Linked DNA regions of Yarrowia lipolytica. The protein of the gene in region 1 purifies or fractionates together with the protein of each later gene. This does not show direct contact. Links are inferred from orthologs where the notes say so. Each region holds a gene or a part of one and is shown in the gene's direction. Other genes may lie near its edges. The genes, in order: YALI1_F19192g, YALI1_D17370g, YALI1_A22157g and YALI1_B01628g.

Region 1 (7,805 bases):
AATAATTTCATGAAATGATAGTGACAGCAAAATGGTAGGGAGTCCATGTACGGCACGAGCATGTAGATAGGTCATTGTATATATGGTACATATATTTGAGGTTATAAATATTCAATGTCGTTGGCCTACTGGCGGTACTCCCTGTATACCAGCCACAGCACGACGCATGCAACTCCAGCCACGCATACAAACGACAACTGGAACGCTTCATGATAACATGCGGCGCCAAGTGTACAGATCCGAGCTCCTCGTTCGGTGACGATGGAATGCGAATCATAAACCTTGCCGTACCACAAGTTGAGGCAGTAAGATGGGACGATGGGGGCTAGCGACAGCAGTCCCCAGTTCTGGCTGAAGTGCTTCATGCCATACGAGTCAGCCAAAATGGTGGGGTATGAACCAAAGCAGATACCATAGGCAAGACCCGATAACGCAGATACCATCCAAAAGTTGTGAACTTCATTGACACTCAGAGCTCCAATCTGACCCATCACAGAGGCTGCGGTAGATGCAATCAACAATAATGATCGCGGGTGGGACTTGCTAGCAGCCAAATCACACAAGTACCCTGATCCAATTCGACCTAGGAACGAGGCAATGGAAATGGCACCCACCTGTAGAGACTGCAACTGCTCCGAATCGTGGGCTCCAGCCACGGTCTTTGACTGGAACTGTAGCGCCTTGACGCTGAACCCACACGAATAAATGAACATCTGTCCAATGCCTGCAATGAACCCCATGATCACGAAATGTTTCCAGAATTGGCTATTCATGATCAATTTCAATCCATAAATATCCACATTATTGGATGTTGCGCTGCTTTTCTTGATATCAGCATCTGCCTCCTTGGACCTGGGGCTTTGAGGGCTGGTAGGCTGAGAGATACGAGTGTGCATTTCGATACCAGAGGTACCCCTTGAGTGAAAAGCTGGAGGCAAGGGGCGCACGGTAATGATACCAATAGCAAGAAGGATGGTGGGGATAATGGCTAGAGCGAAAAGAAAGTCGAGAGTAACGCCATCATAGTAGGTCGAAAAGAGTGTAGAGAAGAAGAAGGCAGACAGTCCAAAAGCTGCCATGGGGACACTAGTTGCAGCACCGCGAGCATTAGGGAAGTTCACAGCTGCACATTTCATGGCGCTGGCAAATCCAAAGGTTCCTCCCGTTCCGACCAGAGCCATGGCACACGCGAGAGTAGGCACGGAGGCCACTACATTGATGTAGCAAAGCCGTATGATAGTGTAACCACCGCCCATGAACAGAGCGCCGATGATAATGGGCGCCTGGAACCCGTGCTTGTCCACAACGACACCAGCAAAAGGTCCACTGAGTGCCATGCCGAGGTTTCCAATCATGCCGATTTTAGACGTGTCAGTCGTATTAAGAGCGAGCCGCAGCCCTAGCTGGGGAGCAAAAGCCGAGTAGAGGTACATGGTACCACACGCGATACCGGTAAGGAAACATCCTACCAGCGAAGCAGCTCTTTCCATTTGTCGTGTCATAACATGCGGATGTTGTATCTGGTTAGGTTCTGTAATATTTACAGTTGTGACGTGTGTGGTGGATCCTTGTATGTACTCGTACTGCCCCGCCCCCCCCTAAGTATAATGCGGAGTAAATAGAATGTTGCGGTCCGTTTCCGGGGCAAGATAATACTGTGTTGGCCATTGACTGGTAGCAGAGCTACTCATTCTACAAGTAGCCTACAAACTCTCTCAGGTTTTGTGGTATGGTCGTATATGTCTTTATTTAAATATAAACAGTGGGGATCTATTCTGCATTGTGACGTCAATCTGATCTACAGTACAACACGAAACACCCACGCGAGGAATGGAGGATGGATTGTACAATAGCACAATGTAGGATGGGACTCAAAAACTAAAATTGCGTGTGTGCTTGTGTTTGTGGGTCCGGCACTGATTTGACAACATCGAAGAAATGGGTATAGTGTTAATCGAAATCACCGTTATGCTCATTGCCACACCAGGTTCACCTGCGTTGTCCTCTCGCACTTCATTACAGTAGCACTTCCGTCTACAGTTCGTACGATAATAGATGCACTCGTAAAGTACCAGGACCAGAAAACATATGTACAAGTACTGTACCAGTACGAGTACGAGCGAGTACTTGCCTCCGCATCAGGAAACTTAGGAGCTGGAACAGAGCCCCCATAATTTGCCACGATGCGTGATATTTCTACCTCATTATTACATAGAAGAATGTCACACGCCTCAGGTCATCACTGTATCATGAGCGCCAGCAGTTAAGGGCGCCTCTCCAGCAATGGTTTTTAGGTTGTTATTTGTCAATCTCCTCCGCCTCCCCCTATTGCCACGACGTGCAAGCATCTCGATTCGGACATCAGAAGAAACGGAGTTTGTTTGGAGAAAAAAAGTGCTGGGGGAAAAGTATATATATGTGTTTCGGTTTGCGACCGGGTAACCGAAATTTTCTCTGCCTCACAAATTATGCGTACCCTACTACCAATTCTCCCAACAGTCATTGCCGACTGTCTGGGCATAGTGTACCCAATGATGTCCAAATCGGGAAATAAACCCTTAACCTATTCATCAGCATGCCCATATTGTAAATCTCACGAGAACAGTTGTGTCAGTCCACCGCAAAATGTCCTCCCTCGACAACCAGCTCTCTGCGTTTAAAAACAAGATCAAATCGGCGCCTACGATCAAGAAGCCGTCGTTTGTGGCTAAACGCAAGGAGGAGGAGGAGGGTGTTGGTGGTCAACAAAAGAAGCGTAAGGTGGTTCCGCCCGTGAACCCCTTCAATGAGAACGTTGGCCGCCACGCTGCTACACAGTTGATGCATGCTGTGGAGTACATCAAAAAGCAGGTTGGTGTTGTTCCGATCGAGAACATTCGATCATACCTGTCGCTGCAAAGCGCTGATTTCTTGGTGCCCCTATTGAAGAAGATGGACCAGATGTCCTACAACGCTGTCCAGAGGGGATTTGAGTACATGCCCAAATTCAATATCCGTACCAAGGCACAGCTCATGGCATTTCTTAAGTCTCAACCTACAGCCAAGGGTCTCAGCGTGCGCGATCTTAAGGACGGCTGGGCCGATTGTCTAGACAGTATCGAAGAGCTTGAGCAGAGCGGAGATCTGATTGTTCTCCGTACCAAGAAGGAGAACTCACCAAGAATGATGTGGGCTAATATGGGTGGGCCAATCGGCATGGTTGATGGAGAGTTCCGGTCAATGTGGTCACAGATCAAGGTCCCCGATGAGTCCGAGTTGCCGTCGAAGTTGGAAGAGGCTGGCCTCAAGCCTACATCTGTGGATCCTGCCACTATCAAGAGCAACAAGGCCAACGGGAATGGTTCAAAGAAACAAAAGAAGCCCCGTCGAAGCAAGATCACAAACACACATCTGGATGGTGTCCTCAAGGATTACGGCAGATAGTTGGTCCGTACCTGAATATTCAAGGTCGCGCAGTTAAATAGGCATCCAATTGGTGCCATCATATTATTTTATTACATTCATATAGCATAAGGAATCTTCCTGTATTTACGATCAAGGGTTGACACTGCGTGCACATTGTACAATAGATACTAAGACCAACACAACTGGACGTACAGTATGTAAGATTGAAATACCATTGTGAGAGAGTTTGTTTTTTCTCGAAAATGAGGAAGTGAACTAAGTCCTGATTCAATGAACTTGCCTTTTCTCTACGGCATAACAATAAGTTACCGACACGTACCTACCGTATGTGTTATTTATTGCGATGTCATGCTTAATCAGCACACATGGTTAAATACAAAATAGAGTTCAGTTGTTCTGCAGGATGGTAGAAATTTTGGAACTCTAGAAAATATATTTCCAACCACTTCACAAGCATCAGGATGTCCGACCAAGTACGATTCTACCTAGAACAGAGCATTCCTGAGCTCGAAGACCTTGAACAGCGAGGACTCTTCACCAAAAAAGAGATTGCTCAGCTTGTGCGTAAGCGAACCGATTTCGAGCACAGAATCACCGGAAGACAGTCTCGGCCTCGAGATTTTTTGCGGTATGCCCACTTTGAAATAAATCTGGAGGCTCTTCGGATGAAGCGGATTGCTAGACTCGGAAACAATCCTGCTGCCAAGCTCAAGAAAAACAGAAACAGAAACATGCCTACCCCTACAAACATCTCCGACTATGCCGGCCGAAGGCGAATCAATTTCGTGTTCGACCGAGGAACCAAGAAATTCGCAGGCGATGCTGACCTGTGGAAGCAGCACATCGCTTTCCTGAAGCATTACAAAATGATGGCGAAGCTGTCGACTGTCCATACTAACATGCTCAAGCTCTTCCCCAACCGGGCTGACATCTGGATCATGGTAGCCAAGCATGAGTTTGATGAGAACTCTGCAGCACAGACAGCACGATCTGTCTTCCAGAGAGGTCTGAGATTCAACCCCGAGAGCAAAAAGCTTTGGCTAGAATACACCAAGCTGGAGCTGTTGTATGTGTCTAAGATCCTGACTCGACGAAAGCTCCTTGGAATCCTTGCTGATAGAGACAAGCAGCGAGAGGCTGAGGAAGTAAAGGAAGTTGACGATGAAAACGTCATTGCCCTTCCTGAGCTTGATGGTGACGATGACATCAAGGCTGAACTCAAGACTCTTCCTGAGGCTGATATTGACATGCTCGGTAACCCCTCCACCAACCCTGCCCTTCGAGGTGATGTTGCTCTTGCAATCTTCGACTCTGCTCTCGAGACTATCCCTAGGTACTCTTCAGAGATCAACACTGGTCTCAAGAATGACGATGGATCTTTTACAGTCGCTCTTGCACCTCATTTTGCATTCCTGCTGTCTTTCTCACGACAGTTCCTCGAGCTCTTTGACGAGTTTGAGGATATGGACCGAGAGTACCTTTGTGCACATGTCATCCAGGCTGTCATGCAACAAATCAACAACGACATTGGGTCCGCATCCCTGAAGCTCACCGAGAGTGCTATCGCAGATATTGCTCGGTTGGTGGTGGATGACATCACCCTCTCAGTGCGGTACTTGTCCCCTCTTGATGCTTCCTTCCCTGAGGCCTTCAAGCTGGCTCTGAACAAGTACAATGTCGCCATGTCTAAGACCTGGAAGAAAAAGGGATCGGAGAGACAACAGCAAGTCCGTAAGCAAATTGCGTCACAGTTCAAGGAGAAGCTGGCGGACTACCTTACAGCTGGCAAGTCTGTTGATAGAGAGATCGACGAGAACCTCAAGCGAGCGCTTAAGGCCGTCATCAAGAAGACCGAGGACGATATGTAAGCATCTTTAATATATATTTACACACACGCAAACTGCATCTGTATATAAGTAGCTATATTTAGAATATTTTGATATGTTTGGTATATTTGGTATATTTGGTATATTTACTGTTCTATATCATGTTTAGTCCTTCTTGCTGCTTCCCCAGTCAGCAAAACGAGGAAGGGGAGTTCCGAAGTTCTCTGATCGCAGTTTTCGTGGGAAAATCACGCCCTGAAAAACAACGGTCACAATAGCTGCAGTAGCGATCATGGTTGCAGCACACCACATGAGCGTGGTGGAAGAGAAAGCGGAGTTGGAGTCAGGGTTGGCAGGGAGGGTAAACACCTCGTTATTGTTGCTACCGGGATACCACTTAACAGAGAGCTGGAGGGGCAGAAAATCACCGTTCTTGTATCTCTCGGTCTCCGTTCCTCTGGAAAACGCGGCTGCTACCACAGGCGTCTCGGTCTTTCGCGAGTACATCATCACGGCATTGAGCTTCGGGTCGATGTCCAAATGAGACTCCTGAATGTGGCCACGAATGGTGAATGTCAACGGAAGCCAGGTTGTAGGCTCTGAGAGCACGTTCTTGTTCTTTTGTTTGGAGGCTCTGAGTCTGCAGCTGAAGGGAGCATCCTCGTGAATATAGAGCTGGAAAAGGTGGTAGAGCGTGTCGGAGAATCCAATGGTGCAATTCACATCTTGGTCAACACGGTATTGAAGAGAGAGGGGCTTTCCTGTTTCTCTGCAGATGGGGAAGTCCTCATAAAGAATTTCTTGGGTCTTTTCATCGACCATGTGTTCTCCGTCGTGGATGTTTCGTTTAATGCATTCGAGAGGGAGATCGTCGCCTATGCTATAGGGGTTGAGATCTGTTTCTCCCCGAGAATCAAAAAAATATGGCTCAGCAGCTAGCACTCCGGCGATAAAAAGCGGGGCCAGTCTCATGTTGGTTGTGTTGGATGGTGTGGCCAGATGGTTGATCTGAACCTTGTAAGGTCAGCTACGTCACGTGCCCAAACAAAGAGTGCTTGGTGTCAAGGCTAAATTAGCCACATGTGGAAGGCACAGCGAGGCATCCATCGTGTCATAGCAACCATCACCTCGAACACCCAGATGGGAAAAATGGGAATGCCACAAACCTGTGCTGATTAGTCATATATCTGCCCAAAAGAGCCTTCTACTCTGAAATCAGATCGTACATGGGCCATGCATGGAGCTAAGTTACAAGTAAGAGGCAGCAGCAACAAGCCTCCCCATAGTTTCTTTCATGCCATGACGACCATACCGCAATCGTCACGGAAAACCACACTGATTCCACCACCAACGCAAGACTTTGCAGCGCGCCAACAGACCATACGACTGTATCCCTCCTCCAACTACGTGTTCGCAACCAAGGATGCTCAGGTTGAGAGGGATGTCTCTGTGCAGGCGCGCATGCAACGACTGAAAAGCATGTACGACGAATCGGGGATGTTGCGGTACGTGGAGGGGGTATTTCTGTGTCATGAGTTCGGAACTCCTTACGTCTTCTTACTCCAGTTGCCAAACAACTTTTTTAAACTTCCCGGAGAGTACTTGGACCCCGACGAGGAGGACGAGGAGGGTGGATTGCTGAGGAAGCTCGCAGATAGGCTCAGCCCTGAGAACGGAGAGGACCAGGAGAACTCGAAGTCATGGAAGGTACTAGACTGCCTGGCGCAATGGTGGAGACCTAACTTCGAGGTTTTCATGTATCCATTTCTGCCACCGCACATTTCTCGACCAAAAGAATGCAAGAAGACTTTCCTCATTTCTCTGCCCGAGAAGATTGCTTTCTTCGTACCATCGAATATGACATTCCTTGCTGTCCCTCTTTTCGAGCTCTATGACAACCCCGCGCGATATGGACCCCAGCTTTGTGCGTTGCCACATTACCTCTCAAGATACAACTTCGAGTGTGTAGACAAGAATGGTGTGGTGGTGTCGCAGTTTCCTGGGTCTGCACCATACCAGCAAAAAGATGGAGAAAGCAAATTGCAAGCATAGAGCAACGGGCATGTGGATCAAAGACTGGATAATGGGTGGCAACTGCATAAACACCACAGATCACCCTGAGAGAAGATGTGCCCAGCCATCTAGTTACTAAGCTGCTAGATGTCCTGCATGAGGTGGTCGTTCAGCACCCTAGTAGTTACAACTACGAGGTAACTGCGGAATGATCAGGTCTCTTTGGTAAGTACAAGTACATACCCGGCAAGGGAGTATAGCTGAAGTAGACTGCAATAAACTTTGTATAATAGCTACGATACTCGATGTTTGTCCCTTCTAGTGTTCGCGGTTTTGTTTCTAATGTTTGTATTTGAATAAATTAACTAATATACAGGATTCCAAGAGATTGGTGACACTCAGCATTATATATGGGTTGCAACAAGGCCCTAAGAGAGCCAGCGCTGAGACTGGAAAAACTCATAGATTCGAGCGGTTTTGTTGACATCAATCTTGACCAGTTCACGGGCTGTACGCTTCTTGAGCACACCTCCGGTTCGCAGCAGCTCTCGGAACAGCGTT
Region 2 (7,429 bases), on another chromosome or scaffold:
GGTCAGCGACTTGTCGCCAAGGTGGCCCAGTCTCGGCATGATGGAGTCTTCAGACGTGGATCGTCGCACTCGGCGAATATGGAACCCGTGGCTGGAGCCATTTGCAGAGGTGTTTTTGGCCAGCTTGGAGGCCGACGAGGCAAACAGCTTGCGGAAAAACCGCGACCTCATGGAGCTGTGGGGCATGTCCTGCCGCAGGGGGCTGGGGATCTTGTCTGTCATGGCAAACGGAAGGGGAGAGCAATAGCAGCGGCGAGAGCGGACAGCGACGAGAGAGGACAGCCTCAGTCTTATATGTCCATGCAAATGTCACAATTCCATCTTTACACACAACGAAGAGAGATATTACCCCTCTGGTCCATGCACACACACCTGAAATCAGCCCCAAGAAAAAGTGCATCTTCGACAGATCGATACCAGGAGTTGGGGAGGGCCAAAGGGGGACAAACGCGCCCTTGGAGACCATTGGGGGACATTTCACGTGATCCGAAATGAATCTGGGACCACAAACGGAGTATTTGGAGCTCGGGTATCACTGTTGAAGGCGGTATCTCGCGGTGCGTGGTTGGCAGTACGCAAGCCCCATTCAAGCGAAACTGAAAAAAGACTGAAAAAACTGAAAAAAAAAAACAAAAAAAAACAAAAAAAAAAAAACCTGAAAGAAGAAAAAAAAATCACATGTTCCTACTGGATCACGAATCACCCCACAAGAGCCACATAAGCCATGCTCTCACACTGTCTAGATTCAAAAATAACAGGTTCTCCCCGATCCAAAAACAAATTGGGGTGATTGAGCTGTAGGGGAATTGAACCCCTGGCACCTGCTAACAACTGAATGGAAGGCAGATATGTTACCACTACACCAACAGCCCCGAAACATGCCCAGTTTTTTATTCTTGCGCACCAACGGTGGGCGGAAGGTCACGTGACCTGAGTTTTGGAGTGGGATTATTGGTGAAGGGGTGAGGATACTGGAGTTGGAGAAAAAGTGGTAATCGGGTTCTGGAAATTCTTTTAGACGGTTCTTCTAGACGGTTCTTCGACTTAGATGGTGTCGACGTAGATGAATGTCGACGATAAGGCCACGGAGTGTACGCGTAGTGTACTACCATTCACCTAGATTACTACGATACTCGTCCACAAACTAGCCAGCACGGCGCTGACTCTACATCTGAAGCACACTTATCTAATATGTTATCATTAACTATACGAGTATCCTTCATGCTCCTATGTTTGACGATCGAATGGCTATGGCAGTCAATCCTTCTGTTTGCATTGCAGTTTGATACTCGTTCATCAGCTCATCTAAGCGGTTTCATTCCAACTTCCCCTCCAACTACCCAATCCAGAGCGCAACTCAGTAACGCATTGCTACTATCGGAACTACGCCTCACCCATAACCACCTCCGTGGAAACGACATCAAAGGTTCGGACCTTTACGTCCAGCACGGCAGTGACGCCTCTAGGGAACTTGTAGCTCTGCTGCTTCTGCTCACGCACGTTCGGGGTTCGGTAGTTTCTGTGCAGCACTGCGTCCTTGCCCTGCTCCATGACACAGATGTCAACGTTGGAGCCGGATCCCAGATCGTTCCAGATACCGGACTCGATGGCGTCGGATGCAAGCTGGATCGCCTCCTCCTTGGTCAGCTCCTGCTTCCAGTTGGCTTCCAGCACGGCCATGGCAGCCATGGATCCGGAGCCCAGAGCGAGGTAGTATCCAACGTCGGTCGAGCCGTGGGCATGGATCGACATGAGCTGGGGCCCGGTGGGGTCGACGCCCGCCACAATCAGGTACGCGCCAATGTGGCCCTGGTACTTGAACAGGTGCTGTTTGAGCATGGTCAGGCAGGTGACCACTCGGGGCTGTCGGCCCGCAGACAGCGAGTGCAGCTCAATGTTGGACGCGGTGAGCTGGGTGACCATCTCCGTGTCGGCAGCGGTGCCGGCTCCCGCGCACCAGATGTGGGGAGCGATTCGATGCAGCTTCTCGCAATTTTTGTCCGCCACAATGTCGCCACTGGTGGCTCGGGTGTCGGCCGCAATCACCACGCCGCCATCGAACTTGCATCCGACAATTGTCGTTCCGGTGGAGGTCGCGGTCGGCACCTTGACGCCCTTGGCCGACAGATGCGCGTTTCGCTGGTAGTTTGAGAAGGACAATCCTGGCATTGTGTGTTTTGTATGAAGATGTGTACAGGTTGGTGATGTGCTGGTTCGAAGTACTGTAGATATAGCGTTGGGACCCAAGGTGGCAATTAGAGTTTGGCGGTGGGATTTGGGGGAGAGATTTGGGGGTCTTGGGGAAATTTGGCAGGGAAATGGAGGTGCGAGATTTGTCGACGAGGTTGGTTAGTGGCTACTGGGGTTTTCTGCCCGAAAAAACAACCAGAAATGGTCGCTTTGGGTCACCCTCTTGTCGGACATACAGTCTGACACTAAGGTAATCTTAATAAGCAGATATATGAAGAGATAGGAAATGAGGACGATAGAGGCGGAATATTGCAAATCTGACCTTTCAGATGAATTTTACAGCTGTAGAGCTTCAAAATGATACCAAAACGACCCTGATTTGCAGAGTTTTATAGGATGTGGCGAAACAATGTAGTTTCAGTGGAGTTCGATACGATCTCCCTGAATCAGACAGAGGGTCTCAGAGACTGAGGAGGCGTCATAATGGGCCTTTTTTTACAAATATTGATTTGGTTAGAACTTGAATGGCATCACTAGGGCCGTTTCCCGAGGTTTCCTCTTCTAGAGAGTCAGAAAGACGTCTGGTTGAGGTGATGTGGAGGGACTAGAATAGAAACAACTGTACCATTGTAATAAGCTTAATGAAAGATATCTAGCAATATCCAACACCCTTCACTTGGTGTACTGTGGCAAAAGTTGGTGTGTTCATAAGCTGGGATGGTGAGATAGTTGTGGAGAGACCCTGAGAGGCACAATGAAGGGGTACGGACAGTTGTAGAGTTGAAAAACAGGCTTGGTGACACAAAGGGACTAGTGAATCGGCCTTTCTGGTTTCAAAATGGCCCTTTTTCTCATCATAATGTTGTGCTTGCTAAGTTGTCAGCATATGAAGACGTGAAGAGTTGCTGACTCGAAAGTCCAAGTAGGAGCCCGAGAAAAGTGGGAAAGAATGAGAAAGAACCGGAGAGGAGTGTTTCAGCTTTATTTCTTGTACAATAATGCATAGACTAGACACTACTCTACAAGTAACCTGGTATCTCAGTCAAGCCATACACAGACCTCAGGGAGAGGGTACAAACACCACTCTCACTCTCCTAGAAGTTATATAGAGACCAGAATTGGTCAATTTAATGGATTTAGCATCTTTCAAACCCGCAGAATCCTCCATATATGTTCATATCTGGTTCTTTCGGACTCTAGACCATCCCCCCACGTCCACAACCACCCCAAAACGCACATCAGAATAAGAGAAAATGTTTCTTAGTCATCAAACTACATACTAAACCAACTAAACCAACATATACAACTCTCCAGTCCACAGTGTCTCGGGCGAACATGCTCCAGAACTAGTCGTTGTGCTCTCGTCGATACTGGCTTAGTCAGCACAACCACCCATCTGCAACCTTAAAAAAATATTTTCGATTAGCCTTCTATTTTCTGTTATCTGGCACCACCTTGCAACCACACAACCATCATGAAAATCAAGACCATTTCGCGGTCCACGGACGCCTATCTTGCCGACCGAGCCTCCGAGACGTCGCGGCAGCCCCGAAACCTCGACTCCGCGCTGCATCCCTTTGAGCGAGCCCGAGAATACACAAAAGCGCTGAATGCCACCAAGCTGGAGCGAATGTTTGCAAAGCCGTTTGTGGGCCAGCTGGGACGAGGCCACATCGACGGCGTGTACACGATTGCTCTGAACCCGCGGATGCTCAACGCTGCGGCGTCGGGCTCTGCTGACGGAGTGATCAAGTACTGGGACCTGACGTCGCAGGAGGAGACTTATTCCGTGCAGGCCCATGAGAACATTGTGCGTGGTCTGACAGTGACACCCGAGGGACGACTGCTGTCGTGTGCCTCTGACAAGACCGTCAAGCTGTGGGACATGAAGAACAAGAACCCCGACCCCAAGCAGGTGTATCTGGGAGACCGAGGCTTCAACTGTATTGACCATCAGCGAGGTCCCGACACCTCCAAGTTTGCCACTGGATGTGGAAAGGTGCAGCTGTGGGACACCACCCGGTCCAAGCCTCTTTCGTCGCTGTCCTGGGGCGCAGACACCATCACTTCTCTCAAGTTCTCTCCCTCTGAGCACGCTGTGTTTGCCTCCACCGGTTCCGACAGAGCCCTCACCCTCTACGACATCCGAACCAACTCGCCCATCAACAAGCTGGTCACCAGCATGAACAACAATGCCATTTCATGGAACCCCCAGGTGCCGTTCATGTTCTGTGCCGCCAACGAAGACCACAATGTCTATCTTTACGACATGCGAAACCTGTCTGCATGCACATCGTTCCTGCAGGACCACGTGGCTGCGGTCATGGACGTGGACTACTCGCCCACCGGCCGGGAAATCGTCACCGCCTCTTATGACAAGACTATCCGAATCTTCAACGTCCGAGAACGGTTCTCCAGAGACATTTACCACACCAAGCGAATGCAGCGGGTGTTTTCTGCAAAGTTCACTCTGGATAACAAGTACATTCTGTCGGGTTCAGATGACGGTAACGTGCGTCTGTGGCGAGCCAAGGCCTCCGAAAAGGCCGGTGTCCGGTCGTCCAGGGAGCGGGCATCCCGAGAATACACCGACGCTCTCAAGGAGCGATACAGACACATGCCCGAGGTGCGGTCCATTGCCCGACACCGACACGTGCCGTCTGCCATCAAGAATGCCCGTGAAATCAAGGGTATTGAGCGAAAGGCTCTCAAGAGACGACAGGACAACGAGAGAAAGCATAACAAGAACCTGCCTGACATTCATCTCAAACAGCAGCATATTGTTGGTGTTGCCATCAAGGACGATAAGAAGATTGAGGAGTGGAAGAGAATTCAGGAGGAGAAGAAGCAGCATAAGGAGAGTGTTGAGGGAGGTTGGAAGAATGTCTAGTGTTTTGCAGGTGAATAGCACGACGAGAACACGTGAGGAAATGACATCTGACTACACGACGATATTAATATAGACCTGTGAAACGACATTCCACTTTCGACACAACGTCGTCTGTCACAAGTGACATGGCGCACACAGCCGCGGTCGTGTTTCAAAAAAGATATAACATATATATGAGTGCATTTTTTATTATTACTGTACTTGGTTGAAGACTGATGAGCTGAACACATCCATCAACTCCGCCACCCCCTGGACTCTGTAGTCAGTCAGAAAGATATGGCCGGATGGGATTGTTGTGGAACGGCCAGAGGTTGAGCGACTTACGAAAGTATCAATACAAATACCTGGAATACAAATACCAGTACCGGACCGTTATTCGAGTGGATGTGAGGACTTGAGGTCCGATTTGCTGGTGGTAGAAGGATGAATCTACGTTAGTTGCTAAGTCAGTCAGTCCGTACTGGTACGGTACCTGTCTCGCCGTCCGTCGTACGTTAGTTGCTAAGTCAGCCAGTACGTACTGGTACGGTTCTCGTCTCGCCGTCCGTCGTACTGGTACGGTACTGTCTCGCAGTCGTATCGTACGCGCCTCGTACCGTCTCGCAGTCGTATCGTACGCGCCTCATACCTTCCGTCGCACGCTACCGCCCGTCGCACGCTACCGCCTCGCTGTCCGTCGTACCGCCTCGCACTCGCGGGCTCGCCGGACCTCCTACCACTTTCAATTGGCTGACACCTTATCCCTGTGTGTGTTCGGACTATGCGCTCATTGTTTACAAGTATGACGTGCATTATCGTAGGTGCCAAGAGCTGAGATACTGCTTGCTGCGGCTATCTATGGGGTTTAGCGGATGATATAGAAACAAAGGCTGGCATCTAAGCAATCTGGACGGGGCGAAAACCGAGTCGCGGTCCGTGCGACACGAAAAACACGTCTTTTCACCCCCAGCAACGGAGTCTAGCTCCCGCCCCAACTCTGTGATAAAGTTGAAAGGAAGAATGCTAACAATAGATTGTAAACACAAGGGATGTGGGCCAGAGAGGCGCTTATTCGCAGTGGCAAGCAGGGAAAAAGTCGTTGATCACGTCATTAACAACTACAAGCAACAGTGTCGTTGCTTCCTTTCGTCACGTGATAGCCCCAGTCCCGCGTTTGGCCCTCTCCTCGATCCCGCCGCCTTCCCCCTGCATCTACATACTCCAAGGGATGACGTGCAGGAGCCAAGCGTTCATATTCAACTCTAACCCTGGCTCTGACGCGGTATATATATATAAGCGGGGAGGCGTCTCCGTCTTTCGTCTTTCGTCTTTGTTAGTTCCAACCAACGTTCGTTTCTGCCACATCCACCATGCGACTCTCCACCACTCTCATTGCTGCTCTCTCCACCCTGGCTCTTGCTGCTCCTGCCCCTGCCCCTGCCCCGGTCAACGCCATCGTCAACGGCGACAAGCTCAAGAACATCGAGCACCTTGGAAAGCGAGACCTCAAGAAGATCGCCCAGGAGAAGGTGATTGTCAACGGCGACCAGCTGACCAAGGAGGCCAACTAATTGTGTCCGACAAGTGACTGAATGTCAAAGATACGACATGGTCAACCACAAACCAGCCTAGAGAACACTTTGCTCACTGTATATTTAATCAATTAATAATGACTACAACATGTTGCCGTTGATGACTGACGTGATATCACCGCTTGATGACTAACAAGTAACATCAGTTGGATAGAGATGGATAAAGCGATTCGAGGGGATTATTTTGATACTTGACAAAGAGATACCAGGGATATACTGAAAGGAAAGTACTTGTAGCTACTTGTAGGTTAGTCGTAGTCCAACGAAGGTGCGAGTCTCTCTTCATTATATCATCATTTTTTATTAAAACATATATTTTTGATTATCATTAATAATCTTTCAAACAATCTCCGATTTGCTGACTAAGACTACACTAATGGGTAGTCTACTCAAGCTGATTATTTTGATATTATGTAATCACACCTCGATTACTAGGGACAATACATAGTCTCTGATTTGATGACAAACGAGCTATTCGCTAGACATGAAAATTACACCAATAGAAACCCCACTCAAGCCCATCATTTCTACATTTTCAGGTCTCCCTATTGTCCAACAATAATTCCATCTCTGGACGTTCGACTAAGGCAAAGGTATACCTCTCCAACCTCTTCTTCAACAGCAGCAACCAAATAAGAAATGGAGAAATAAATAAATTAACAAAAGAAAAAAATAAAAAAAGGAAAAAAAAGGAAAAAAAAAAGAGGACCAAGAAACAACTCGAAATTCCCATTTTTTTTAATGCACAAAAATCAACCGCTTTTTTGTCCACTTCGGC
Region 3 (8,176 bases), on another chromosome or scaffold:
CGCTCAAGATTGTATACATTGACGGTGCCAGTGCGTCTCTGTCCTCCGATCTGGGGACCATGGACTCTCAGGGTTTTCTTCTAGACGATCCCATCGACACCTGGAATGACTACACTGAGTTTGCACGAGGTGATCGTCTGTGCAGACTTTTCAAGGAAAATGGCTTTAAGCTGGATGGTTTTGTGCGTATGAACACGGGCTTTGAGCTCCTAATGTGCAACATGACCAACCCCAAGGTGGAGTATGTCATGAACAATGCCATTGCGGTCAGTGAGGAGGAAGGTACCGCTGGCCTGATGAAGCGAAGTAGCTTTGAAGTTGGTCAGACTTTCTTGTCGAGAGACAGATTTGGCAATCTGCTGGTTCGTCCCTCTCGAGAATTCAACTTCTTTGATTATGACTGGGTCAAGAGCATGGAACGTACTCATTCCAGTGCAGGGGAAGAGCGGGTGGAGCTTGATTATCGGGGACTGGTGACCATTTACGGCATGGAGGGCAGCCGAGACATCGATTTTCCAAAAAATGTGTCTCAGCATCGACTGCTCACGGGTTCTGAGGCTCTGAGACAGGAGCTAAGGTCGCAGCTTTGGGAGGCAGACAAACACACAAGAACCTACGATCCGTACAGAATCAATTGGAGAACGGTGACGGACAACCTTGTGTACAAGATGGCGCCTATTTTGGCTCAGATTAAAAATGGGCAGCTGGAGGCTGGGACCAGCTCTTTGAACGATACGTCCAAGCATCTTGGTGGTATCACGTCCATGTTACGACTGAGATTTGAGGGTGATGAAGAGCTCGCTAACAGTACAAGACATGATGTTGATGCTCAGGTTGAACGATGTGCCAAAACATACGCTTCTGACTTCCATAAGTACGACGTCACGCCTTTTGAGGAAAAAGTGAGGTTCGCCATCAGACTTGTTTCCACTGCAGTGTGTTCTGTAATCATGGAAACTGCAGATTGGGCAAACAAGGTACAGACTCGTGTCGGCAACGTTTCTGAAGAGCTTCCATCTAAGTTGCATGCTGACGTTTCGGATCTGATATCTGATCTCAACTGGTCCTATTTTGTTTCTTGTACTCATCGGTGCAAGGACAACGAGGTCTGCTATCTCCCCACCTGGCCCCATGGAGGTCGAGAGCCCCATATTCCGGCAGAGCCTCTTCAGTGTAGAACCATTGAGGATCTCAGGAAGAGTAGAGGGCTGTAGGTTGTGTTTTATAGCAATAATTATTTTCTGATTTATGCTGTTTGTCAAGTATCTTTCAAGTAATTATGTTGATTCTCTTATATTCTTCACTTTGTTGGTTATCTCTCCTATACAATTTAGATTCGCGCGCATGCAGACAGACAGACGTTATCGTCATGAAACTTCCACCTCCCCACACACCAAATCACCATGGCAGCACTCATCATTGTGGACTTGCAAAATGACTTTCTTCCTGGAGGCTCTCTTGCTGTAGTCGACGGAAATGACATCATACCCATTGTTCAGAAACTCGCTGACTCTGGCAAGTACAAATTTGTGGTGGCCACCAAAGACAGTCATCCCCAAGACCACACATCGTTCGCCGCCAACCATGGAGCTGAGCCGTTCACCTCAATCACATTCAAGCACCCTAACTCAGACAAACAGGTAGACCATACCGTGTGGCCTGTTCATTGTGTGGAGGGTACTTCTGGGGCAGATTACCCTCCTTCATTCGACTCGTCCAATGTGCAGGCTCTTGTTCGAAAGGGATACTTGCAGGACAGAGAGTATTATTCTGGATTTGAGGACGTTTGGGGCATCCACAAGACAGAGCTTCATGACCTGTTGCAGCAAAATGGCGTTACGGAGGTTGACGTGGTGGGACTTGCATTTGATTATTGTGTGTTCAATACAGCTAAAGACGCTGCCAAACGCGGCTATAAAACCACAGTCATTAGGGAAGCCACCAAACCTGTGGATCCTTCTTCTGAAAAAAAGATTGTTGCTAGTCTTGAAGAGGCTGGGGTTCATGTCGTCTGATCCACAACCCAAACCGACTGGTGATACTGCTGCCAGTACAATACTCGCACTCCGATTGACTGCTCAAATATGCAATGTACAGTACACTGTGTGTATTTTCGTCTCTACATTCTCTTTATGACGGGTCTTTTGGGGCTCACTTTCTACAGTATATCCTAACACTTTTGTCTCTTTTTTACACAACACATACCATACAACTCTCAACACAAGACTCTGTTTGTTTATCATGGACGCCCTATACACTGCCTTCAACTCTGGAAAGCTGGAACCCTTCGTCCAATCTGTGTATAGAGATGGAACCATCGACCTCTACGCCAACAGTGAAGCCATCTGTCTGTTCTCAGGGAGAGAAAATGAGCCTTACCTAGACAGCTTTTTGGGTGGTATCTGTCTTCGATACAGCTGCAACCGGCTGATCAACGAAGGACCGTGGGAAGACCGTCTGGAAGCTGCCAAGCAGATGGTCCAGATCCTCACTCGTCACTATAAGACGCCCATTATCGACTCCAGTGTTCTGCTGAGCATGCACTCCGTGTTCGATACCATGGTCTCTCTGGGTGAGGAATGTTGCGTCTCTTCAGGCTCAATCGACTTTGTGCGCTTCGGAAGAGTCTTCCATGGCATCACGCTGGTCTACATTTTCATATCCGAGCTCAACCAGGCATTAATTTCTATTCCTGACTTTCTGATCCAACGTTGGGGAGCACTCAACCTACGGGCCAACGCCCTAGGCATTTCTGTCCAACCCAAGACCATGACCAAAGTTCTAGACGAGTCTCGAGGTCTTGTTTTGGGCATGCCTGTGTCCAATGGAGATTCTGCTACTGCCCATTACCTACTTTCGCGATTCGGAAAGATCTCCCAGATACTGACAGGACTCCAACAGTCTCCAAAAATCAGCCTTGGTGAGATATTGAGCTTCTGTGCGTCAGAACCTGACCTGCAGTTCCTCTCTCTCATGCTTGTTCGTCAAGACTACTACGAAGAGCTTGTCGAGCTGCTGGAGAACCCTGATGAGGAGATTGTGGGCATGACGACCATTCTTATGGTTCGTGTTGGTCTCACAATCAGATTCATTGACCCTGAGGAGGAGCTGCCAAGCCATCCATGTGTCCCACGATACTCCACGGGTTCTCTCACCCAACAGATGGAGTTTGTGTTCCAGATTTTGGACCGTCCAGACCTCTTGTCGGCCAAAATGAACTCTTCTAACCCCCATCACACCTGGATGGGTGCTCTGTCTGCAGTGGTGACTGAGTGGATCGCCGCTGATAAACCTGAGGAGGTGTACGGAGCGAACAAGAAGTTCTATGAGCTTGATCCCCCTGTATCACTCATTTTTGCGCTGTGTAGACTCCTCTACCTCGTTTGTGAGATGAATGGGGCTGGAAATAAGGATCTTGTCATCGGTAACATTCTCTCCTATGTCTCTCCTCCATCTCCGCTTCTACCCTCCAAGGTAGAGCCTATCAAGTTGGAAGACAGGTACCTTCCTTTCCAGCTGGGCGAGTTCGAGGGCACCACGATGGCTACCCGGGAGAGAAACCACGTGATTCTCTCTTTAATTGGGGTCATTAGACTCCAGATTGAATACACATACTCTTTTATTCGCGAAGAGATTGACAAAGATCTGATTAGAGTGCTCTTTTCTGGACTCCTGGCAGCCTATTCCAACTGCGTTATCCACGAGGAAACGTCTTCTATCGAGCTTATCATGTCCACTTTCAACGGTTGCATCCAGGTCTTCCCGTCTGGAGGTCTGATTCTTGTGGAACTACTGGCTGAGCTTTCGCAGCAGTCTCTACGGTTTGTTGGGGTATTTGCCACCGTGTTCAGCAGGTTCTATGACAAGAAGTACTTTTACGGGTGCGAGTTTTACTTCAATGACTTCCTTAGACGTTGGGGAGACACGCCGTCTTTTGATATCACACAGCTGCGTTCCAAGTTCACTTCTTCCTTGGAAGATAGAGCCACTGTTTCTGGAAGTACTTAGTTACGGTCTTGCAGTATATTCTCTTCTTTTCCTATCATTACCATTTGTCAATAAATATATGCCGTTCAAGATCGATCTTGTAGCTAGTTTACGTAATCATTTTCACTTGAGAAGCCTATTTCAGTAACCTGGTTTAGGGCTCAAATATGCATGGTGAGCCTATTTGAAATTTTTTGGCAGTAATCTGCAGAGGGACACAAAAGTTCCAAGGTATATCACTGACGCATCAACACCACAATGGTCCTTCGATCTACACCTGGAGCCGTTTCTGTGTACCAGATTTCTGGTACAAACTCTTCCAGATCACTGCCAGAATGGCTGGCCAAGAAGCGAAAGAAGTCTCTCAAGAACGATGCCGAGTACTCCAACCGAATCGAGCTGATTCAGGATTTCGAATTTGCTGAGGCTTCCAACAAAATTGAGGTGACTCGAGATGGAGGATATTGCATGGCCACCGGTACTTATAAGCCTCAGATCCATGTCTACGACTTTGAGGATCTCTCTCTCAAGTTTGAGCGACACACTGACGCTGAGAATGTTGACTTCAAGATTATCTCCGACGACTGGACCAAGAGTGTGCATCTGCAAAACGACCGATCTATTGAATTCCAAGGACAGGGCGGAATCCTGACGAAATCACGAATCCCAAAGTTTGGACGAGCGCTGGCTTACAACGACGAAAACTGCGACCTGTATGTTGGAGCTGCAGGAAACGAGGTATACAGACTGAACCTGGACCAGGGTCGGTTTATGGCTCCCTTTGAGCTCAGCAGTGCCGGTGTCAACTGTCTGGACGTTAACCAGGCCCACGGTCTCCTGGGTTTCGGTACTGATGCTGGTATTGTCGAATTTTGGGATCCTCGAAGTAGGAGCAGAGTGGGTATGCTGGATGTGGGCGCTCCCGGACTGGGTGGCGGTGCCACAGCTCTCAAGTTCAGAAACGACGGTCTGAACGTGGGTATCGGTAACGCTGACGGTATTGTTCGTCTCTTTGATCTGCGAGCGCCGGAGCCCTATGTCACCAAGGACCAGGGATACGGTTTTGGCATCAAGAAGGTGCTGTGGGTCAACGACGACCATGTGCTGTCTGCCGACAAGCGAGTCGCCAAGATCTGGGACCGACGAACCGGAGACGCCTACACCTCCATTGAGCCCACTGTGGACATTAACGACGTGGCACACATCCCCGGTTCCGGTATGTTCATGTTCGCCAACGAGGGTATTCCTATGCATACTTACTACATCCCCAATCTGGGACCTGCGCCCAAGTGGTGTTCATTCCTGGAAAACGTCACCGAAGAGCTGGAGGAGAAGCCCAGCACTTCTGTATACGACAACTACAAGTTTGTCACCAAGCGAGAGCTGGCGGCACTCAACATTTCACACCTCATTGGCTCGGCCGTGGTCAAGTCGTATATGCATGGTTACTTCATTGACCAGCGGCTCTACGAGCAGGCCAAGCTCATCTCCAACCCTTTTGCTTACAAGGAGCACCGAGAGCGGGAGATCCGAAAGACTCTGGAGAAGGAGCGGGAGTCGCGTATCCGAACCTCTGGAACTGGAGCCATTGCATCCCGTGTCAAGGTTAACAGGGCTCTTGCTGAGAGACTATTGGCTGAGTCTGAGGCCGAGGTCACTAACAAGAAGAAGGTGTCTGCCAAGGAGACTTCCAAGGCTGCTCTTTCCGACGATCGATTCGCTGGCATTTTCGAGAACCCCGATTTCGAGGTCGACGAGAATGCTGCAGAGTTCAAGCAGCTCAACCCTTCGCACAAGAAGGTCAAGGGCCAGCAGTATGGTGAGGCACCTCTGCGAACTACTGCCCGACCCCTTACTGCTGCTGAGGAGGAGGCCATGGAGGAGAATAACGGCTACTCGTCCGATGAGCACGTGGAGGCTACTGATGAGGAGCCCGACTCTGAGGATGAGCGAAAGGCCGCCAAGAAGAAGGCTCTGGCAGAGAAGCGGGCTGAGAAGAAGGCTGCTGAGCGTGCAGCCTTCCAGGCCAAGCGTGCTGACAATATCAAGATGACTACGGGCTCTGAGGCTGCTCGAGAGGAGATTCCCGATGACGACTTTGCTGACCGAGTGGCTGATCTCGAGGCTGAGGAGGACCGGCACGTCATGAAGAACGTCAAGATGTCCAAGGGCGCTGGAGGAGCCGTGGAGATGACTTTTGTGCCTCAGGGAAGAGGCAAAAAGGGTCGTGGTCCTCGACCCAAGCGAGATGGAGATGAAGAGGAGGCACGGGACACTGGAAAGAGCAGACAGGAGTATGATGGTCGACGACGGGCTGGCAAGAACGCCTTCCGAGGTATGTAAGAAATGCATAATTAGTATAGAAGCGAAAGGATTCAAAGTATTAGTTCGAGAGATTATGTAGATGATGTAATGAATGCAGTACGAGTGTATACAACTGAGATACCGGTACTGTACTTGTACTGTAGCTACTCGAAAGACGCAGGAAGACACCGATGCAAACGCTTATTCCTACTCGTACTCGTACTATGATAGCACTGAAAACTGTATCAATTTGTCGTAACCGTGCCGAATGGCTTGCCGCACCATTTATTATCTCGCCGCACACCATTATCATGCTCCAGATCCTGTCACGCTCCACTTCCCGTAACTACCAGTATGTGTACATTCCTCTGCGGCTCCCCGTCCACCGACCGCAGATAAGATGTATGGCCACTCACCGGCTAATGAAATCGGTAGTTTGCTCATGCTGCCTTGCGGAAAAAAATGGTGAACACTAAACGGAGACTCCCTTTTGATAATAAGGTGTTTGGCGTATAGAGATACGGGTTTTGAAGTATAAGAGAGAAGAAGTGTAGGTTGCTGTATTTGGATCTCCCCAAGTCTAGTCGTATCACATCTGACTGTCCATGACGTGCTCTACAGCCATTTCTTCGTAGCTCTTCTTTCTATGCGGCTCTTGTTGAGTTTCAACGGGCCCCGCATGTACACTCCAGCCAAACTCAACTGTTGTGTATACTGTAGGTATGGTATGGTATGAAAGAACCGCCTGAGAGAGGTCTCGGGTTCCCATGCACGTGACGCCGCAACACAACGGTTGCGTTTAAGTTGGTGTCTTAAGTTTGGGCCCGAGTGGGGAAGGTCCTACGGGGCCACATAGCGGTTGGATGGCTTAGTAGTGGTGTGTCATCCTCCGGACCACTGATTTCTGCGCGCCCAGAAACGTCAGCAGCACACCACCCGCTTGTCGGCATGATTGCGAATAAACAAGTTAAGAGTTTCATTTAACGGAGCGAGGGCTGCTGAATGCACAGGAGGATAACGCAATGCTGCGCACACATTTTCGGCACGCAACCTAGCAGCAACTGTTGAGACTGCTGTGAGTGGGTCTGTTTAAGGGTTTGTGTGTGTGCCGGCTGCATGGGGTTAGGTAGGCCAGTGTGATTCAGCCTATACACCCGCGCCACACACGTAAAACTGCATCTCTATCTTCTTGGAGACAACGGGAAGCTGTCAACCTCAACTTGTTTGTCGGCCTTGCGGCGCTTCTTTTAGCCCTGGCCTTATAAGGTAAAATAGGGTTGGGCAAGCGGCTGGAATTACTCCGCGCCGCACGGACCTTTAGGGCCTTCGGCAGCAGTTTGGAGAAAGCAAAAGCCCAGAGCACACGAGTGTGGTTTGCACTTGTTTTGATTTTGGTCTGAAAAAGTCCCTATAACCCTACATGTCTGCTCAGGACGAACGCTCACGCATCCCCCCAATTTCCTCCCAGGCCGATTCCGCCCTTCTCAATCCGCCTCACTCTGCTCTTCAACAACAACAATCGTCTTCCAACGGCACCAGTAACCAACCAGACTCGTCAACCATGACGGACACACGAGGCCCGTTGATGACGCAGGAAGCCCGCGATCGCGAGACCCAAAACAGCCTGAAACCACATCCGCAGTCGCAGTCGCTCTTCAACAAACCCCAGATCGCACCTGTGCTCACTGAAGCTGCCTCAGGCTTGCGCCCCGACACCAACATCAACAGTAATAACAACAACGCCTCGTCGCATACTTCTCATACGACATCGCTCTTGTCAGCAGCAGCATCAGCTCGAGGGCCCGATGGATTGATCGCGCACATCAGAAATGCTGCACCCCCAACAGCGGCCATAGAGTCCTCGCCATACTACTCTTACCCCCAA
Region 4 (7,773 bases), on another chromosome or scaffold:
CCACACGTGATTAGATCATCTGCACGTGATTAGAGCATCTGCAAGTGATTATAGTCGCTTGACCACATTGCGTGACCGCTTCTCTTCTCAAGCTTGCCATGTCTTCCGGTGTGAGCACACTTCTATCTGTCCTATTTTCTAATTGTACCCAATTTTGTCAGAATTAGTACCAAATTAATCATCGAAACGACACGGTTTTAGTAAACTACTTTTTATCCCTCCAGTGCTGGTATTACAAAAGTTGGAGACACAAACGCTCGTCGGCCAGATTAAAGTGGAATGTCCGTGAAAATTCTGAAAATTGTACTGAAGCCTGAATGGGGTGTCAGAAGGGTTCCAAACGGTTCCAAGGTGTTCCAAAGTGTTCCAAAGCCTTTTTTTCAGGCGATTATTGTGGTTTTATTCTGCTTTTATGTCTTTCGGGGTCGTTTATTAAATCCCAATGTTCATATACATTGTCTGTTTAGGTGCCATATACAGAAGCCTTTCTTCTGCACAAGACTGCTCATTTGTGACGGTTACATAATCAGAACATTAGTAAAAATTATATCGTTGAAGAGCTCTTGTTCAGGTGAACACAATTGTTTTGTTGTTAACCGTCGATAGGTTTATTATTGGCTGGGTTGTGCACTTCTTTTCAGGGGACGGACCGTATGTAGCTCTGGAAGAATGAAGTCACCTCCAAGTCAATGAATCTCATGCAGACAGAACCAAAGTATCATAGTGTCGTCACGTGAGACGCGGAAGTTGGACACGTGACCAACTACTCGATCTTGTGCTCCGGTCACGTGAAAACTGAACACGTGGACAACTATGCCAGTCATATGACAACATGCACACACCCTCCACTACTCGTACAGAACCAGAATAAATTATTGTATTTCATTAGACCGATGCAGACCGTTGTTAGACGACATACGGTGGAGGTCCCGTGGCATATCGAAGCAGTGTAGAGAGATGACTGAAGTTCACAGGTCGACTCCTCTGGTGAACGGACCACGAGCGGACCCATCGGACTTTGTCGTTGGTGTGGAACGGAATAGATTCGGGTCTGGATTTTCTCCATATCAACTCCCACCCTGCCGAGCTCGGCTAAAACAAATCATCCAAATCCATATCGTCGTCACTGCCCACACCCTTGTCCTTGACCTCGCCCTTTTCCACCTTGTCCTCACTCTCCTCCTTCTCCTCCTTCTTTTCCTTCTTATCGATCTCCTTCTTCTTCTCCTTGATGGTATTCTTTGCCTTGAGCTGTTTCTTCTTGACCTCCAGCTCATGTTTGAGCTTGGAGATTCGCTGGTTGAACCGCTCCTTGAGCATGGCGTTGGCGGTGCGGTCGGCGTCGTCCTGCTGCTTTTTGATGGTCGCCTCCAGATCTGCAATCGTGTCGACCAGCACCTTGGCGTGTCCTCCCTCTTCACCGTCGTCGTCATCGTCCATTCCGGCCGACGCTCGGGGCAATTCCTCTTCGTCCGAGTTGTCCGACTCACCTGCGCCTTCTCCCTCATCTTCGGACTCGGACGCATCATCGGCCTCGATTTCTTCGCCCTCATCCGAGCCTTGGTCCTCCAGGGCCCGCTCCAGCTCTTTATCGAGCAAATCCACGTCCATTTCTCCCTCGTCGACCATGGCAAACCGCGGAGGAGGAGTGGCGGCGGCAGAAACAGTGGTAGACACAGATTGCGAGCCCGCAACCCCACCGGCTCCATACAAGGACGCCAGGGTGCGTCCATCGACAAGCTCATATGATGTGGAGTCTGCCTCGTCGTCCAGATCCAGCAAGTCCGTCACCTTTTGCTCCACCGATTCAATCACCTTTGTGGACACGGTTTTTCTGAATCGGCGACGTTTGGCGTCAAACAACGGCGGAGTCAGGCCATGGCGACAGGTCAGCGCGCTTTCGCTGGAGCTCTTGTCCCATTGCATCGACCGCGCCTCCATAATGCTGTGTTCGGACGAAATGGGCTCGGTGACAAGTAACATTTGGCAAATGTCCAGACACTTGAACATGTTTTTGCCGCGGTCAAACGTCTTTTGGGCCTCGACGATCGCCGGCAAGTCCACCAATTTCGCCGCGTAATGCCGCCCCCGCACAGAAACCACCGCCCTGCGCGAGTCCTTGAACCGAATCACAATGTTGCTGTAATCCTGGTTCTCCACCGCCGTCCGCAGATATGACAGGTCGTCGCGGCCTCTTTTACCGATTGGTGGGAATCGCAAAATCAATCCCTCTTCAATCAGCGGATCGTCTTCGCGGTCCGGCGCTTCGCTGTCGTATCCCTGGCCCGGTTCGCGGGCGGCCTTGACTCGGATCCGCGGCACCACCTTGCTCTTTTTAGTGGATCCGCCACTCGCGGTCGACGCCCGGCTGCTTTCCGGCGCCGCGCTCTCGCTCTTTTTGTTGCTCAGTTTCAGGGACAACCGCGGCTTGGACTCCCGCTCTTTTTTGGGCGCCTTCAACTTGATGCTGAGCGACGGAGTGCTCGGTTTGGCCCCTTCCTCATCCGTTTTGCGCTTCTTGGTCCGCCGCTTCTCCGGCGATGCCTCCGGCGACCGTTTTTCGGGCTTCAGCTTGATTTTGATCATTGGTCAAGTGGAGAGAGTGGCTAAAAGTGGTGACAAGTGTCTGGAGTAAGTGCAGAAAGTTTATTTAGAACCAGACGGGCCCTCCAGTTCTCGGTAGGTCAATGAAATCGTGTCGAAAATAAAATATTTGGAATCTCCTCAATCACAGCTCCACAATGGTATTAATATTTCGGGTGGACGGTCGGCGGGAGACGAACTTATCTGAAATCTTACTTGTTGACATTTGTTGAAAATTGGTTAGCATTCTGGTGTCATTTGTTGAAACTTGGTTAGCTACTGTTACCAAACCCTTTCCAGATAGTTTTCATGTTTTTCAACACAATCAAAGAACAAATGAGAAATATTGAATGGAGCATACTATTTAAAACAACCCCATTAACAAACTGCAACTTCAACCATTCAAATCTGAGCAATGTTGGAGCTTCAAGATGAGAGTCAGTGTATACATCAGAAGTCGTGGGAAGCCAAACAGAGTCTCTGGAATCGCCAAAAGAGTGTCTCTTTCGTCAAAAGGTGATCTCGTCCACTTGTTTTCGGTAAGACATATCTACGAGTACCTACAATACGAGTACCTCATCACCGTGAGCATCCAAGAATCTCCTAATCTACAAATTCTGCATTACGAATTCTGCCCTATTATCACCTTAGTCAGCGACAGCCCATCAGACATTCCCCCCCCCCAGGTCAGTCAAGGTCACCCCCACCGCGCCGACCAAGACTCTGATCACGTGACCACCCTGAAAGTACCCATTGTTCTCATCACGTGATCATTCAATCCCGTCGATCCTGTTTCCGTTTGGCTCCACTTGAGTATATCTGACTATTTTTTTATCGATATCACTTTCTGCAGTGATATGCAGATCGGAAGAGCGGTTCAGCAAATGAATTAAAATAAATAAAAAATAACTAGAAATTAAATAAATAAATGAAAAAAAATATAAAAATATATACAAATATATACAAAAAAATGGGATAAAAAAAGAGAAAAGGAAGAAAAGAAAATCGCACAATGTACCTACTTTATTGTGAAATTAGTGGAAATATGGAGCCGTCTAGGAAGATTCGACCGTATTTAGATGTGGTGTAGCGTGGGAATTTTTTTGGAAAATTGGGACCGGAAAATCTGAAATAAAATGGGAAAATTGGGACCGGAAAATCTGAAAATCAAAATAAATCAGATAAAATCAAATCTCAAATCAATAAATCATTTCCCTAAAAAAAACCCCATTTCAAGCCTCCTGAATCACAGCAAAATTAGGAGAAGAATTTTCACTGTGGAAACGATGGGACATGGAAAATGGAAAAATGGAAAATGGATAAAAGAAAAAAAGACAATTGGAAAAATTGGAAAAATTGGAGAAAATATGGAAAAAATGAAAGATGGCAAAATGAGAATGGAAAATGGGAAAATGGGGAAATGGTCAGAAAATACCACATGTATCAGTTCAGATGTTTCCCCGCTCAGACTCGCCCAGACATTCGCTACACTCTCATCTGGGCTTGTCTCGCCTGGGCCCTAACCCTAAAATAAACTTTGGAAAAAATTTAGTCGTCCCAAATTTTTTTCCCATCCATCTCCACTGACTACACTTGACAACCGCACTTGTCATCTACGTCACCACCGCCCACACACGACACCATGACATTTATTCTGACGGAAACGTCTGCCGGCTACGCCGTGCTTAAGGCCAAGGACAAGAAGATCTACAAGTCGGAGTCGATTCTCGAGGAGCTGTCGACCCCCGAGCTGGTGACCTCGCAGTTCAAGGTCAAGGGCTTCTCCAAGTTTGACTCTGCCGCCTCTGCTCTGGAGGAGGTCAACGCCATTGTGGATGGCCGGGTCTCCGACAAGCTCGCTGCTTTGCTCAACGAGTTCAAGGACGAGAAGAAGTCTGCTCTGGTGGTGGCCGACCCCAAGCTGGGCAACGCCATCAACAAGCTGGATCTGCCATTTGACGTGGTTGCCGAGTCCGCCTCGCTCGATCTCTTCCGAGCCATCCGAGAAAACCTGCCCTCTCTGCTGCCCGGCCTCACCGAGAAGGACCTGGCCACCATGAGCCTGGGTCTGGCCCATTCGCTGGGACGACACAAGCTCAAGTTCTCCCCCGACAAGGTCGACACCATGATTGTGCAGGCCATCGCATTACTAGATGATCTGGACAAGGAGCTCAACACATACGCCATGCGAATCAAGGAGTGGTACGGCTGGCACTTCCCCGAGATGGCCAAGATTGTCGCCGACAACATTGCCTACGCCCGAGTCATCAAGACCATGGGCTACCGATCCAACGCCTCCGAGACCGATCTGTCTGAGGTGCTCCCCGAGGAGGTTGAGGCCGCCCTCAAGGTTGCCGCCGAGGTCTCCATGGGTACGGAAATCACCGAGTTTGACCTCGAAAACATCCAGTGCCTCGCCGACCAGGTCATTGACTTTGCCGAGTACCGAGAACAGCTCTCCAACTACCTCAACGCCCGAATGGCCGCCATTGCCCCCAACCTGACCGCCCTCGTCGGCGAGCTCGTCGGTGCCCGGCTCATTGCCCACTCCGGCTCCCTCGTCAACCTCGCCAAGGCCCCCGCCTCCACCGTCCAGATTCTTGGTGCCGAGAAGGCCCTTTTCCGAGCCCTCAAGACCAAGCACGATACCCCCAAGTACGGTATCATCTACCACGCTTCGCTCATCGGCCAGGCCTCCGGCAAGAACAAGGGTAAGATTGCCCGAATGCTCGCCGCCAAGGCCTCCGTGTCCATGCGATACGATGCATTTGCCGAGGAGCGGGAGGACGTGCCCATTCTCGGCATCGACAACCGAATCAAGGTCGAGAACCGTCTCCGACAGCTCGAGGGCAAGGAGATTGTCGGCACCGTCCGACCCGACGTGAACAAGATCGAGCACAAGAAGGTCGACCTTTCCACCGGCAAGCAGTACAACGCTGACGCCGACACCGTCGGCAACACCACCGCCGGAGCCGACTCTGACGACGAGGATTCCGACTCTGAGGAGGAGGTCAAGGAGAAGAAGGCAAAGAAGGAAAAGAAGGAAAAGAAGGACAAGAAGGAAAAGAAGGACAAGAAGGACAAGAAGGAAAAGAAGGATAAGAAGGAAAAGAAGGAAAAGAAGGACAAGAAGCGAAAGCGAGAGGACGACGACGACGAGCCCAAGAAGGAGAAGAAGAGCAAGAAGTAAAGTAGATAGTGGTATGTATTTTAATTGTTAGACAGACGCGGAGGAGGTTCGACAAATGAGGGCACAGCCCGAGTCGAGAGTTACCGACCCAGGCAGTAGAAAGTAGCAGCGACCGCCGCGAACGCCGCGAACGCCCACTCACAGTCGAGATTTACTGATCTATAAACAGTAGGAGAAAACACCAAGAGCGCCGACTGCCACTGACCACCGACTATAAATGTTGGGATAGACTGCTTGTATCGTATCAGAACACCGACAACCGAGTAGTGCTGCAGCGTCTTGGTGATTCCCTGGACCCCCTGTGAACATGCTGATCTTTAAGGCCTGTGTTAGTCAATGCAAGTGTACTCACGGGCTGAAAGTAGGACACATTCCTATCACCTATAGCGTAACCGTGAGGAGGAATGTGGCATGGAGAACTGCCGTAGTGATCAGGACTGTACAAAGTCGGCAGTCATCATTAATGTGTCTGTGGGAGACGTGCGAAAGCGTGCGCTGTGATTGGGAACGAGTTCCGAGGGGAAGCTTGGATTTTCCGGAAGAAGCCAGAGAGCTTCTGCCACTTATCGAAGTATTGCAAATGAAATGGCTGCGACTTTCGCCATCAATACCGGAGGCACCTCTGTGCTAAGAACATTTGCAATGGTTGGGGGGCACTGTGGGATAAGAGCAGGCTATCAAGGATTGATCATGACGGGAGTATAGGGGCGGAGAACTAGGCCAGTATGGGGAGGGTGAATAGATATTCGTGTAGAGAATTGTCAACGGAGGAGGTTGCATGGAAACGACTTGATGACGTGGTATGAATGACGCTGCACCATTGGACAAGAAGACAGAGCCTGTGTTGCGCGGCTGCGGCCAGAAGGTAAAGGGGTTGAACAATAAAGGGGTCTCGGTAGAAGAGGAAATAATTCAATTACCCCTTGACCACGATCATACCCCAACCCTGCCTCACCACTGGACCACTCATTACACTCGTATTACCTCATTAATTCACCTCACTCCCTTTCTTTCCAACCACCATCCTTCACGGACAACACTGGCTCTACAAGTAGGCGACCGTATGGAGACCATTGACCGGACGGCTGTGGAGGGGGAATTGGATTGAAGGAAACTGGGTGATGGAGGGAATGAACAGATCTGGTGAATTGGAAAAGCGAGAGGAAGGATGTAGCGGATGACCGGGTGGAGCCTAGAATGTGAGCGAACGAACGAGCTCCAAGACCTGGGCAATCAGTCTTAGAATCTCTTTGATACGCTATGGAAACCTTGCGACGGCTTCTGATTGGGCATTTGAGTAGAGATTTGTTTCTCGGCGATTTCAACATTGAGGCGAGAACGACCGCCTGCGCCAAGTGTCAGTAGATCCGAGACTGTATGTCCTGTTGACAGCCATGAGCTGACGAATGCCATGAGCTGAGAGCGAGTTTGGCCGAATAAAATGACCGAGCCTGCTCCGTGCCTTGTGAGTTCTTGAGGATCACATGTGCCGCTGCCAGAGCAAAGAGCCAGTCAGTGATACATTCGCAAAGCCACTGACAGAGATATTCAAGGGTGAAACTTCCTTGACACAGGTCCGTGTTAGCTATCATTCACGAGGTATCTGTGACTGTACTTACGTTGAGTGAGCGAAGAGAGAAGGAGTGGAGACAAACTGAAGGCTTCACCATGAACCGGAGAACCGGTGTGAAGTAACACTGAAGTCAGCGACATTGTGTGCGTATCTGTCACTGGAGCCAGAGACATTGTGTGTGTATCTGTCACTGCTGCCAGAAGAATAATGTCAGACATTTACTGGGTGGTCTCAAAAGGGCGGTCTGCAACGTTGACTGCGACGTTGACTGCGACGTTGACTGCGACATTGACTGCAACAGTGGATATCTGTTGATCGACTCTGTCTGTCTGTGTTCGTCTGTGACTGTCTGCGTTCGTCTGAGTCTGTCTGTAAGAATAGTGGGGGTCCCAACTCCCCCTTATATAATTTTTTTGGACCAAGATCA

What was found.
Region 2: the proteins of YALI1_F19192g (region 1) and YALI1_D17370g purify together in Saccharomyces cerevisiae (affinity purification with mass spectrometry, with the first as the bait; 3 studies listed by BioGRID). This does not show direct contact. The link is inferred for Yarrowia lipolytica from reciprocal best matches to the Saccharomyces cerevisiae genes UTP6 and SOF1.
Region 3: the proteins of YALI1_F19192g (region 1) and YALI1_A22157g purify together in Saccharomyces cerevisiae (affinity purification with mass spectrometry, with the first as the bait; 3 studies listed by BioGRID). This does not show direct contact. The link is inferred for Yarrowia lipolytica from reciprocal best matches to the Saccharomyces cerevisiae genes UTP6 and ENP2.
Region 4: the proteins of YALI1_F19192g (region 1) and YALI1_B01628g purify together in Saccharomyces cerevisiae (affinity purification with mass spectrometry; 5 studies listed by BioGRID). This does not show direct contact. The link is inferred for Yarrowia lipolytica from reciprocal best matches to the Saccharomyces cerevisiae genes UTP6 and NOP58.

The regions. Positions count from the first base shown.
Region 1 is NC_090775.1:1,915,429-1,923,233, forward strand, and holds YALI1_F19192g (uncharacterized protein), read left to right. Parts: upstream 1-3,866; coding exon 3,867-5,273; downstream 5,274-7,805. Other genes in the region: YALI1_F19169g (uncharacterized protein), read right to left, coding at 126-1,502; YALI1_F19180g (uncharacterized protein), read left to right, coding at 2,626-3,423; YALI1_F19216g (uncharacterized protein), read right to left, coding at 5,397-6,203; YALI1_F19218g (uncharacterized protein), read left to right, coding at 6,465-7,283; YALI1_F19244g (uncharacterized protein), read right to left, coding at 7,673-7,805.
Region 2 is NC_090773.1:1,733,400-1,740,828, forward strand, and holds YALI1_D17370g (uncharacterized protein), read left to right. Parts: upstream 1-3,664; coding exon 3,665-5,080; downstream 5,081-7,429. Other genes in the region: YALI1_D17336g (uncharacterized protein), read right to left, coding at 1-222; YALI1_D17355g (uncharacterized protein), read right to left, coding at 1,384-2,169. UniProt on the Saccharomyces cerevisiae protein: Required for ribosomal RNA processing.
Region 3 is NC_090770.1:2,211,457-2,219,632, forward strand, and holds YALI1_A22157g (uncharacterized protein), read left to right. Parts: upstream 1-4,245; coding exon 4,246-6,330; downstream 6,331-8,176. Other genes in the region: YALI1_A22111g (uncharacterized protein), read left to right, coding at 1-1,214; YALI1_A22129g (uncharacterized protein), read left to right, coding at 1,404-2,015; YALI1_A22137g (uncharacterized protein), read left to right, coding at 2,242-4,008; YALI1_A22192g (uncharacterized protein), read left to right, coding at 7,712-8,176. UniProt on the Saccharomyces cerevisiae protein: May be involved in rRNA-processing and ribosome biosynthesis.
Region 4 is NC_090771.1:159,262-167,034, reverse strand, and holds YALI1_B01628g (uncharacterized protein), read left to right. Parts: upstream 1-4,225; coding exon 4,226-5,773; downstream 5,774-7,773. Other genes in the region: YALI1_B01644g (uncharacterized protein), read right to left, coding at 1,093-2,586. UniProt on the Saccharomyces cerevisiae protein: Required for pre-18S rRNA processing. May bind microtubules.